2 linked regions of the Arabidopsis thaliana genome follow. The protein of the gene in region 2 interacts with the protein of the main gene of each other region in a biochemical or structural test. Each region holds a gene or a part of one and is shown on either strand. Other genes may lie near its edges. The genes, in order: TUB7 and AT1G49580.

Evidence for each region.
Region 1: of the proteins of AT1G49580 (region 2) and TUB7, one has a biochemical effect on the other in vitro, tested with the Arabidopsis thaliana proteins (one study listed by BioGRID).

The regions. Positions count from the first base shown.
Region 1 is NC_003071.7:12,643,323-12,647,956, forward strand, and holds TUB7 (tubulin beta-7 chain), read right to left. Parts: upstream 2,736-4,634; 5' UTR 2,611-2,735; coding exon 2,217-2,610; intron 2,032-2,216; coding exon 1,762-2,031; intron 1,622-1,761; coding exon 936-1,621; 3' UTR 595-935; downstream 1-594. Other genes in the region: RPC14 (RNApolymerase 14 kDa subunit), read left to right, coding at 1-194, 316-506; ENOC (cytosolic enolase), read left to right, coding at 3,313-3,417, 3,504-3,658, 3,744-3,918, 4,001-4,072, 4,154-4,270, 4,393-4,473, 4,574-4,634. UniProt on the Arabidopsis thaliana protein: Tubulin is the major constituent of microtubules, a cylinder consisting of laterally associated linear protofilaments composed of alpha- and beta-tubulin heterodimers.
Region 2 is NC_003070.9:18,349,649-18,355,386, reverse strand, and holds AT1G49580 (Calcium-dependent protein kinase (CDPK) family protein), read right to left. Parts: upstream 4,064-5,738; 5' UTR 3,777-4,063; coding exon 3,213-3,776; intron 3,112-3,212; coding exon 2,981-3,111; intron 2,850-2,980; coding exon 2,808-2,849; intron 2,717-2,807; coding exon 2,608-2,716; intron 2,525-2,607; coding exon 2,446-2,524; intron 2,348-2,445; coding exon 2,051-2,347; intron 1,953-2,050; coding exon 1,837-1,952; intron 1,756-1,836; coding exon 1,648-1,755; intron 1,544-1,647; coding exon 1,481-1,543; intron 1,398-1,480; coding exon 1,230-1,397; intron 1,147-1,229; coding exon 1,003-1,146; 3' UTR 753-1,002; downstream 1-752. Other genes in the region: AT1G49590 (C2H2 and C2HC zinc fingers superfamily protein), read right to left, coding at 73-273, 382-390. UniProt on the Arabidopsis thaliana protein: May play a role in signal transduction pathways that involve calcium as a second messenger.

The sequences.
Region 1 (4,634 bases), on a different chromosome or scaffold from region 2:
TCTCATTGTATTCAATGAATGTCACATTATCTTATCTTTGAGGTTGATGGAGTTGATATGCTGGTGTGTAGACAATGATGATTATGTCAATAACCAGTACTGTTTTCAATTCTGCAGTCCCAGAGTAACCGTGGCTGCATACACCATCCCACATCCTTCCCTTGAACAGGTCAATATCCGGGTCCAGACAACAGGTACTGTTTTTCAAAAACTCTGTTCATCAGAGTTAAGCTATGTTCTTTTTGGATAACTCTTATCCGAGTTCTTTGTCTGTGTGTCTAACAACATAAAACGTGTTGGCTCTGTGGCTTTTAGGTGATCCAGCAAGAGAGGTTTTTAAAGATGCATGTCAAGAGCTCATGCAAATGAACAGACATGTGAGAAGCGTTTTTGATAAGGCTGTTGCTGAGTATAAGGATGAACAAAAGCGTAAGGAGGAGGCTGAAGAAGAAGAGCTTAAGAGGCAGAGGGATCTATTTGGGTCCATGGACATTGAAAACAACTGATAACCATTGTATTCTCCTATGGAGTTTATACTATTTTTATCTTAAATCCAGATTCGTCCTTCAAATTGACTCGTCAAATTCATAATCCACACCAAAATTTAACCAAGAAGATTCTTATATTGCTTATAACCATTGTCACTACTACTCTGCTTCTTATATTTGAAAGATGGTGAAGTCTTCACCGAATTCACATAGTCAAAATTAACAAAAGGTTATATAATGAAACAAAGAAAAAAAATACTATGGATGGATTTTGATTTAGCAAAATAGATTGTTTGAATATTGATTGATAAATCCTCTTAGCCTACGCAGAGTATCATAACTACTAATAACGCAAGCGATAGTTACAGAAACTATAAGAACTTAATAGAAGAGAGTTTTAAAAGTAAACAGCAACTGGAAGTTGAGGTGTTCTTATCATCTGTTTCTTCAATAAGTTTCTTCTTGCTCGTACTCAGCTTCTTCCTCTTCATATTCTCCTTCTTCATCAGCCGTTGCATCTTGATACTGCTGATACTCAGAGACAAGATCGTTCATGTTGCTTTCAGCTTCAGTGAACTCCATCTCATCCATACCTTCACCTGTGTACCAATGCAAGAAAGCCTTTCTCCTGAACATAGCAGTGAATTGCTCACTGACACGCCTGAACATCTCTTGGATCGAAGTTGAGTTACCAATGAACGTTGAAGCCATCTTCAGACCAGTAGGGGGAATGTCACAGACGGTTGATTTGACGTTGTTAGGGATCCATTCCACAAAGTAGGAGGAGTTCTTGTTCTGTACGTTCAGCATCTGTTCATCGACCTCCTTGGTGCTCATCTTTCCACGGAACATGGCTGAAGCAGTGAGGTAGCGACCGTGTCTTGGGTCAGCAGCACACATCATGTTCTTAGCATCCCACATTTGCTGAGTGAGCTCTGGGACAGTGAGGTTACGGTACTGCTGAGATCCACGAGAGGTGAGAGGAGCAAATCCCACCATGAAGAAGTGGAGACGAGGGAATGGGATCAGATTCACAGCTAGCTTTCGCAGATCAGAGTTCAGTTGACCAGGGAACCTAAGACAGCAGGTTACACCAGACATGGTTGCAGAGATCAAGTGGTTCAGATCACCAACTGCACAATTCAGAAAACAAACAAAAAAATATGTGAGTGAAGTTTCAATACTAATCAATAACTAAGCCTGAAACAATAAACCACAGAGACAGATACAGTAACAACATTGACTCATAATCGAAGAACATTGGAATACTTACAACTTGGAGTGCTAAGCTTGAGTGTACGGAAGCAAATGTCATACAAAGCTTCGTTGTCAAGAACCATACACTCATCAGCGTTCTCAACAAGCTGGTGCACAGATAGTGTTGCGTTGTAAGGCTCCACAACAGTGTCAGACACCTTAGGCGATGGGAACACAGAGAAAGTCATCATCATACGGTCTGGGTACTCCTCCCTGATCTTAGATATCAACAAAGTTCCCATTCCAGAACCAGTTCCTCCTCCCAAGGAATGGCACACCTGAAATCCTGTAAATCCAAACAACCAAAACCATAAGCAAACAACGAATACAAAACCGAATCCGTATTCCACAGTTCAAAATCAGAAATCTAAACCTAAAAACAATCATACACTACCAATACCCAACCTAAATTTACAGATCCAAAAACCTAAATAGACAAAAACCTAAATAAGGAAGACGGATTTCAAATACCTTGAAGGCAGTCACAGTTCTCAGCCTCTTTGCGAACAACATCAAGGACCGAATCAATAAGCTCAGCACCTTCAGTGTAGTGACCTTTAGCCCAGTTATTCCCAGCACCGGACTGACCGAAGACGAAGTTATCCGGTCGAAAGATCTGACCGTACGGACCAGATCTGACACTGTCCATGGTTCCAGGCTCCAAATCCATGAGAACAGCGCGAGGAACGTACCTTCCACAACTCGCCTCGTTGTAGTATACATTAACCCTCTCAAGCTGTAACTCGGAATCTCCTACATACCGTCCCGTCTGATCAATCCCGTGCTCGAGATTAACCACTTCCCAAAACTTGGAACCGATTTGGTTTCCGCATTGACCTCCTTGAATATGAAGAATCTCACGCATCTTCGCTCACAGAGAAGAAAACCCTAAAACTGGATCTAAAAAGAGAGAGAGAGAGAGAGATTTTGAAAAAGGGAAAGGAGAAGCAGAGAGGATCTTTTGTTTTATGAGAGAGAGAAGAAGAGGAGGGTCCATTTATAAAGAAAAGGAGGTTTTAACGGCTAATATTTGGTAATTCGAAATCGAATCGACGGTTTAGATAATGCCACGTAAATCGAGGTGGCAACGGGTGGCAAAATTCAAAAATTAATGGCTCGTGATAAAAAGTTTTTTTGAATTTCGTAAAAAAATATGTTCGTGTGAATGACAGCTGGATTCCATTAAGGAGAGCAGTTACTAAAACATCGTCGCACTCGCACGTGCTTTATGAGAGATAAAAAAGCGGTTCCAACCTGGCAATCGCACGTGAGAGACTTCTTATTGGGCCTAAAATGGGCTTTTACTCTTTTCATTTCAAATCTGCATGACTTAAAACGGAGTGATGTGCACTAGCAAAATCCTCAGACGGCAAGCATGTGTTTGTAAAGTGAAACTCATCGTTTTAATGATTGAATATGCTTATTGGATCCTGAACCGGAGCCTGAACCGGAGCGTGAACCAAAAAATACAGTCAATCGGAAAATGAATTTCAGATTCAAACTTGTTCATCGAAATTTTGCTTGAAGATTCGAATCGAGAAGTCCGTGGAAGAGGAAGAAGAAGAAGATGTCTGTGCAAGAGTATTTAGACAAGCATATGCTTTCTCGGAAAATCGAAGACGCCGTTAATGCCGCCGTAAGGGCTAAAACCTCAGATCCCGTTCTCTTCATCGTAAGTTTCCTTCGAATTTTGATTTACATGTATCGAAGTGAAATTATGTTACATTACTCATTGAATCTTCAATTGGAAAAGTGCAGGCTAATCATCTGAAGAAAGCTGTATCATCTGTGATAACGAAGGTTAAAGCACGACAGATCCTTGACAGCAGAGGAATTCCAACAGTTGAAGTTGATCTGCACACGAACAAAGGCGTTTTTCGTGCTTCTGTTCCCAGTGGTGATTCTTCTGGAACGTGAGAATTATTCTTACTCTGATTGATATACAATTCTCTAATATGATAAGCCTGACATGAGGAGATTGGTTTACTGATTCTCAAGGTATGAAGCTATTGAGCTACGTGATGGAGACAAAGGAATGTATCTTGGAAACAGTGTGGCTAAAGCTGTTAAGAACATAAATGAAAAAATTTCTGAGGCGTTGATTGGTATGGACCCAAAACTTCAGGGTCAGATAGATCAGGCTATGATAGATTTGGATAAAACTGAAAAGAAGGTAGGTGGGAACTTTTATTAGGATTGTAACAAGTTCATATATCATTGCTCCTCATGATTAATTTGATTTGAATATCTTGCAGAGTGAACTTGGTGCTAATGCTATACTTGCTGTGTCAATTGCGGCATGCAAGGCTGGAGCTGCTGAGAAAGAGGTATGAATGATAACATTTTCTCTTATCCTATGTATTTTATGCCTACTTTAGTTAGGAGATTTTGATTGAAGTTATTATCAGGTCCCTTTGTGCAAGCATCTTTCTGATCTTAGTGGCAGAGCAAACATGGTGTTACCTGTACCTGCGTTCACTGTTTTGAGTGGTGGGAAGCATGCTTCGAATACTTTTGCCATTCAGGTATTCTACATTAAGTTCACTATTAACGTTTCTGTTTCTCAAAGTTCTTCAAGAAATCTTTTGGTTTTCAAGTAATTTCATTTACATATGTAATGATTGTTGTGTTTTCATAATTTGTTTAGGAAATTATGATTCTCCCAATTGGAGCAAGTAGATTTGAGGAGGCCCTGCAATGGGGATCTGAGACATATCATCATTTAAAGGTCAATTTTCAAAGATATATGGCTTTCTAGAAGTTACCTTTCTAATTGCATCCGTAAATTTGTGTATAAGGTGAGAATGATCTATTGCTGTTTATGGCAGGCTGTCATTTCAGAAAAGAATGGTGGTTTGGGATGTAATGTTGGTGAAGATGGTGGTCTTG
Region 2 (5,738 bases):
TAAACAATGGAATCAGAAATAAATACGTTAGAATAAGTATCACTGGCAAAAGAAACAAGAATGATTACTCACAGCTTCGATCTGTTGAAGCAGTTTTTCGTTTTTCTTGAGCTCTTTGTCTTTGGCTGCACTCCTCTCACGCATATCAGTGAGCTTCTTATCAACACATTCTCGGTGACGCTTACCAAGGTCATGGTTTCTAATACTTGTTGGATTGTTCTGTATCCATATCTTACAGAATTCACACCATTTGTTCCCTTGACTTACCCAATACTGAAATAACACAAAAAACAAACTCAAGATCAATTTCAATTACGAAACAAGACAGAGGTTTCGTAATTCAAAGAGATTTGGAGAGAAAAGATGCGAATTTTGATTTACCTCAGTCATGGCTGTGGATCAAGGAGATGAAGATTGAATCGAAAATTAAACCCAGAAAACGAAGTTACCGGAACTATAAGATCAACTTTTAATCAGAATCAAGAACTAAGTGAAGAAAAATCTCGAGAGAAAGAGAGAGAGATTAGAAACCCTAATTCCTTAAACTCGAATCCCAAACTCGAGAGGAGAAGCAAAATATAAAATTGGGGGAGAAGAAAATCGGTTTGGTTTGTTTTCTAAATTCTAATTTATTTCCATCACTAGAACCGGTTTTCACTGGTTACACCGACTCAGATCTCACAAATTAAAGCACAGTAACAAACCGGAAATAACCAAGATTTCGCTGATTCCATAATCATTGGGAAGAAAGAGAGACAAAAATCAAATCTTTTTGGAATTTTCTTTTTCATTTTCTTGACTTCACATAGAGTATCAAAGTATCTGTGGTTACTATATTATTACAACAATCTTTTTTTTAGAATTGCTCTTGTAAGAAACTTTTCATTTGTTGTACAGTCTTTGACCAACTATTACATTTCCAATACCAATCCAAGATTTAGAGTAAAGGTTTTGACATCTTCTTTTACGATTTCGCTTAGGTCATGTTTGTTTTCGTTATCTTCACCGGGTAGTTTTCCCCGAGGCTCGAACAGAGACTCCATGTAACAGTTTAACAAACCCGAAGAAGCTAAGCTTTCCATCAGTGTGTCTGATCCAATCATGTAGAACTGAATGTACCGGTATAGATGGTCCAACACCAAGTTCCTGCAATTCAAAAGCATGTCGTTTTAGAGGATCTGTTTTTCGATATTTTTGTATTTAAGCTGAAGACAGATGCTTTAACTTACAGAGGCAAGTTCTTCGATGACAATAGCTCGGTTTCCATTCTTGTCGAAAAGCTCATAAGCATGTCGAATGCTCTGTTCCCAACAATCAAGCGACTCGTGCTGATGAACGTTTATAGCAGCTGCACAAAACTCTTCAAAATCCATTCCTCTGTATTGAAGTCCATTTAGCTGTAAAAAGCCAGTCAATGAAGGATCATTAACACCAAATTGTTAAAGCATTTATCAAAATCCGAGAGAACACAGTCATTTACCAAAGCAAGAAACTCTGGGATCCGAGATTCTTTCATTGCTTCTGTTGCATTGCTTGCAAGTGCCTGTTTAAACAGAAACAAAAAATGCAATACAGATTAGATTACTACGGTGTTTCTCTTTTTTTCTCAAGAGGAAGGAATATAAAAGAAGTTATAGTGTCACAAACCATTCTAATGGTATCCATTGTGATTAGGCCATCTTTGTTTGGTGCGAGAAGAGAAAATTGAGTTTTCAGGTAAAGAATTTCATCCTTGATTAACGTCTTCGATAGCGCCTGTGAAAAGAAAGCACATAATAGTGAGAAAGTAATCTTCAATGCTCTTTTCGACACTTTAAAAGAATGCCTAAAACATACCCTCAAAGCAGCTTTGCGTAATGAAGAAGATCGCAAGTACGCCTTCATCTGCCTAAAGATCAAGATATCGAAAGGGATATTCATGTCCGTATTATAAGCTCGGATCCAAGGATGCACTGAAAAAAGTAAATAGGAACTGAATTTGGTGATTTATGACTACCAAAAGACAGGAGACATAAAACTATAAAGAGCTGTGAAATTAAAAATGACTGACTCAAGGCTTGGGAGGCTGACATTCTTCGCCGGGGATCCTTAAACAATAACCGCTTAACAAAGTCTTTAGCGTCAGAAGACAAGAAGGGCCAAGGAGGTTCATCGAAACTCGGGTCAGCTTTAAGAACAGCTCTAAAAATTCCGGATTCAGTTCTTGCCCAAAACGGACGGCTACCACATAGTAGAATGTATGCTATGACTCCGATGCTCCACACATCCGCTTCTGTTGTATATGATCTGTGTAGAACTTCGGGAGCTACATAGTATGCACTTCCCACTATATCGTTTAGTCTCTCATCTTTCAAAAAAAGGGGCACAAAATACCATTTTTAGTTTACTAACCAGAAGAAAAAGAACTGGAGAAATAGTGACATAGTAAAATGTGTGATGATGAACCTGGTCTGACAAAGTCTGATAAGCCAAAGTCTATCGCTTTAAGCTGAGAATTCTCCTCCTTGGAAGTGTACAAGAAGTTCTGATGATGAAGCAGCGATCAGAAAACATTCTACACATAAAAGTAAAACATAATCTTCTTTCCAGTTCAAAATTGTGCCTCACCTCTGGTTTAAGGTCTCGATGAACAACTCCTTGGAAATGACAGAAAGCTACCACATTCAGAATTTGTATAATCACTGGTTTTGCGTCATTCTCTGAGTATTTCCCTCCCCTGTAGAAAAAAACGATGAATCTTTTTATAAAATAAGAACAATCTCTGGCCATAAGTATCGATAACTCTTTAGTAGCACACAGACACACACCTTGCTAGTATTCTGTCAAGAAGCTCACCACCTTCACATAGCCTGCAAATTCAAACTACTTAAATCCAATTATGAAACAATAGGTTCTTTTTACCAAATTCATAACTAAAACCTAACTAAATTCAACATCAAACAAGGAAATGGTTAAGGTTATGATAAAATAATGATCTTACTCCATTGCAATGTAGACGTTTGCATTGTCCTCAAATGCATCATAGAATTGTACCAGATTCTTATGTCCAGATAAAGCCTGTAGAATTTTCACTTCCCTTCTCACATCTTCTATAGCAATTGCAGTTGTCATCTGCCAAAAAAGAATCAAAACACATTCAATTCTATCAGCTAACACTACAATGGAGAGTATGCAATCATCAAGATCAAGAAACTAAACTCAAGTTTTGTTACCTTCGATTTTGGGATGATTTTGACAGCAACCACTTGACCTTTGAGCTCTCCTTTCTTGAACTTAGCAGAGCAAGTGTACCCAAAATGTCCTCGTCCAATTTCTTCCCCTAACTCTACTCTACTGTGAAACTCTTTAGAAAAACCAAATCTTTTGTCAAGCCCTACTTCCTCTTCCTCCTCACGCTGCGGTACCTCCGTCGTTAGCTGCGTCACCCCAGATAAAGCAGCTTCCTTTTTCCCTTTCCTCCGCCGTAGCGCCGCCCGTATGTGTTTCGCCGGAGACGGAGGGTGAAACGCACGGCGTAATTGACGGAGAGGCGTGCTAGTCAAACTCTTGCTCTCTCCTCCTCCGCCGACGTCGCGGCTCTTATTGCGGCGGTGGCGAGCAGGGCTCGGCGTGTAAAAGGGGAAGAAAGGAGAGGCCTTTGCGGCGGAAGGAGTAGGAATTGGTGATTTACCGGGATGGTCAGGGGCAAAATCGTCAATTTGAGGATAGTCATTACCGGGAGCGAAAGGGTTAGGTCTGCCGGAGGAAGTGGAGGGTTTGGAAGTACAGCCTCCCATAATCTCCGGCGAAAAAAAGGAGCTTACTTTATGAGGAAAATCACAGTAATGCCATCGAAGTTTTGGCTTTTAGAGAAGAAAGAGAGAGCGAGAGAGATCACATGAGAAAGAGAGCGAGAGAGAGAGAGAGAGAGGAGCAGGGGAAGTGAAACTGTTAGAATTGAATTTTGAATCTGAAAATGGTGGTAGAAAGAAGAAGGAAGAAGAAGACGAAGCAAGTAGATGTGTGCATTGGTTAGTAAATTAGTTGCTTCCGGCCACGTATTAATGACCTTAATTTATTGCAGTCTTTTAAATATATTTCCGATCTGTTATGTTTGTCATTCATGTCCCATATTTTATTTTTGTTATATTTTTTAAATGAGGTCATTTTTTCAACGGTTGTGAGATCATTTTTTTTTTGTACAAGTTTGTGTAAATTGAATTTAATGAAGTAACAGAACCTTTACAAAATTTAAATAAAGAAAATTATAGCTGCTGTAAAAAAAATAGAGTATGTATATATAGTTGACAGTTGGTGGGTACAATTAAGGATAATTAAGTACATGTAACCTTCTAGTTGTAAAAAATACTCCTATGTTTTATCATGAAAATTATTGAATACATGTCTACATATATATTTATGTAAGAAATAATTTTGTATAGATTTGGAATTAAAAAATATCATAATGAATTGTAGTTTTTAGCCTAGTAATTAGGTTCTAACCAATATATACTTTATTTTATTTATATGCTTCTAGAGTTTACAAGTTTCTTTCGTAAAAGTTTTTTGCAAAAAATATGTTACCACAAAGAAGAAGAAATATCTGTTTTATTTACGAATATCTTTGATAGAAAAAATAAATCAAATTCATTTTTTTTTTCTTGAAAGTTTGGAACAAACAAAAATTGACATACTAAATAACTAAGAGTCAACTAACGACAATCCCCAAACTATGTTTGCATAATGTTTTAAAGGTGAGAAGTGTCAGAATCTGAGAAGGAGTGAATTATGTGGTGAATCTTTACGTCGATTAGACGTCAATAATGTGGTATGCTTGAGTCTGTGTTCGTTCATTCCTTTCCTGTTATATTCGGTCAACTGGAAGTTTGGAAAGATAGTTGAAGAAGAATGTATTTGATATTATCAAAAGAAGAAGCCGTTAGAAAATGAGTGTTATGCCAATCTCAATCGAGAGAGTTCAAAGAATAAGTTATCTTATGTCTCGTTTAGTTATGCAAAAAGAAGACAAGTTTGAGTGTGACTCTAACCACACATTTGATCACTTGAGCTAGTTCATCGTGAAACACCAACCGTCCATGTGTTGAAATTCTCTTTGAAACTCCTTGCGAGAACCAGCCAACTCGACTCTATGGTACCACCAAATCATAAGATTGACAAACTTGGCTCCACGTATATATAGAAAGAGGAGTAGGTTGGTTTGAAATTGTGCAAGGCATGACATCAGAGATAAACATCTTGGTCAGCATCTTCTTTTGAGATCAGAATAACTAGCATTCAAAATTGTCTTGACATTAAATTGAAAATTATCCAAACGTTATATGAAAACACATCAACGAGACAATGACGAATGCTCCAAGAGGTATGCCCCAAATTTGCGGTCGTCTCGGACATGTAACGTTAATTAATTATTACTTATCATATTAGACAAAAAAATCTTTACTGTGTTTTTACTAATGTTATTAACACGAATATTAAGAAATAACCAGCTATAAAAGAAGAAAAAATAAGGTTCATTAACTAATTTTCACACATATACGTTTCGCTTAAAACTAAACCTCGAGTTGTTATATGTATATATTTTAAATAAAAAATTAATCTCATTTGTGGAATAGATAATGTTTAGTTTATTTGCATGAATTATATGATATTTCTCTATTGGCTGTTTGTGTTTTGCATTTAACATGATGGTGTACGTAACCTAACTACTATTTTGTATTTAGACTATATATGTATAATAG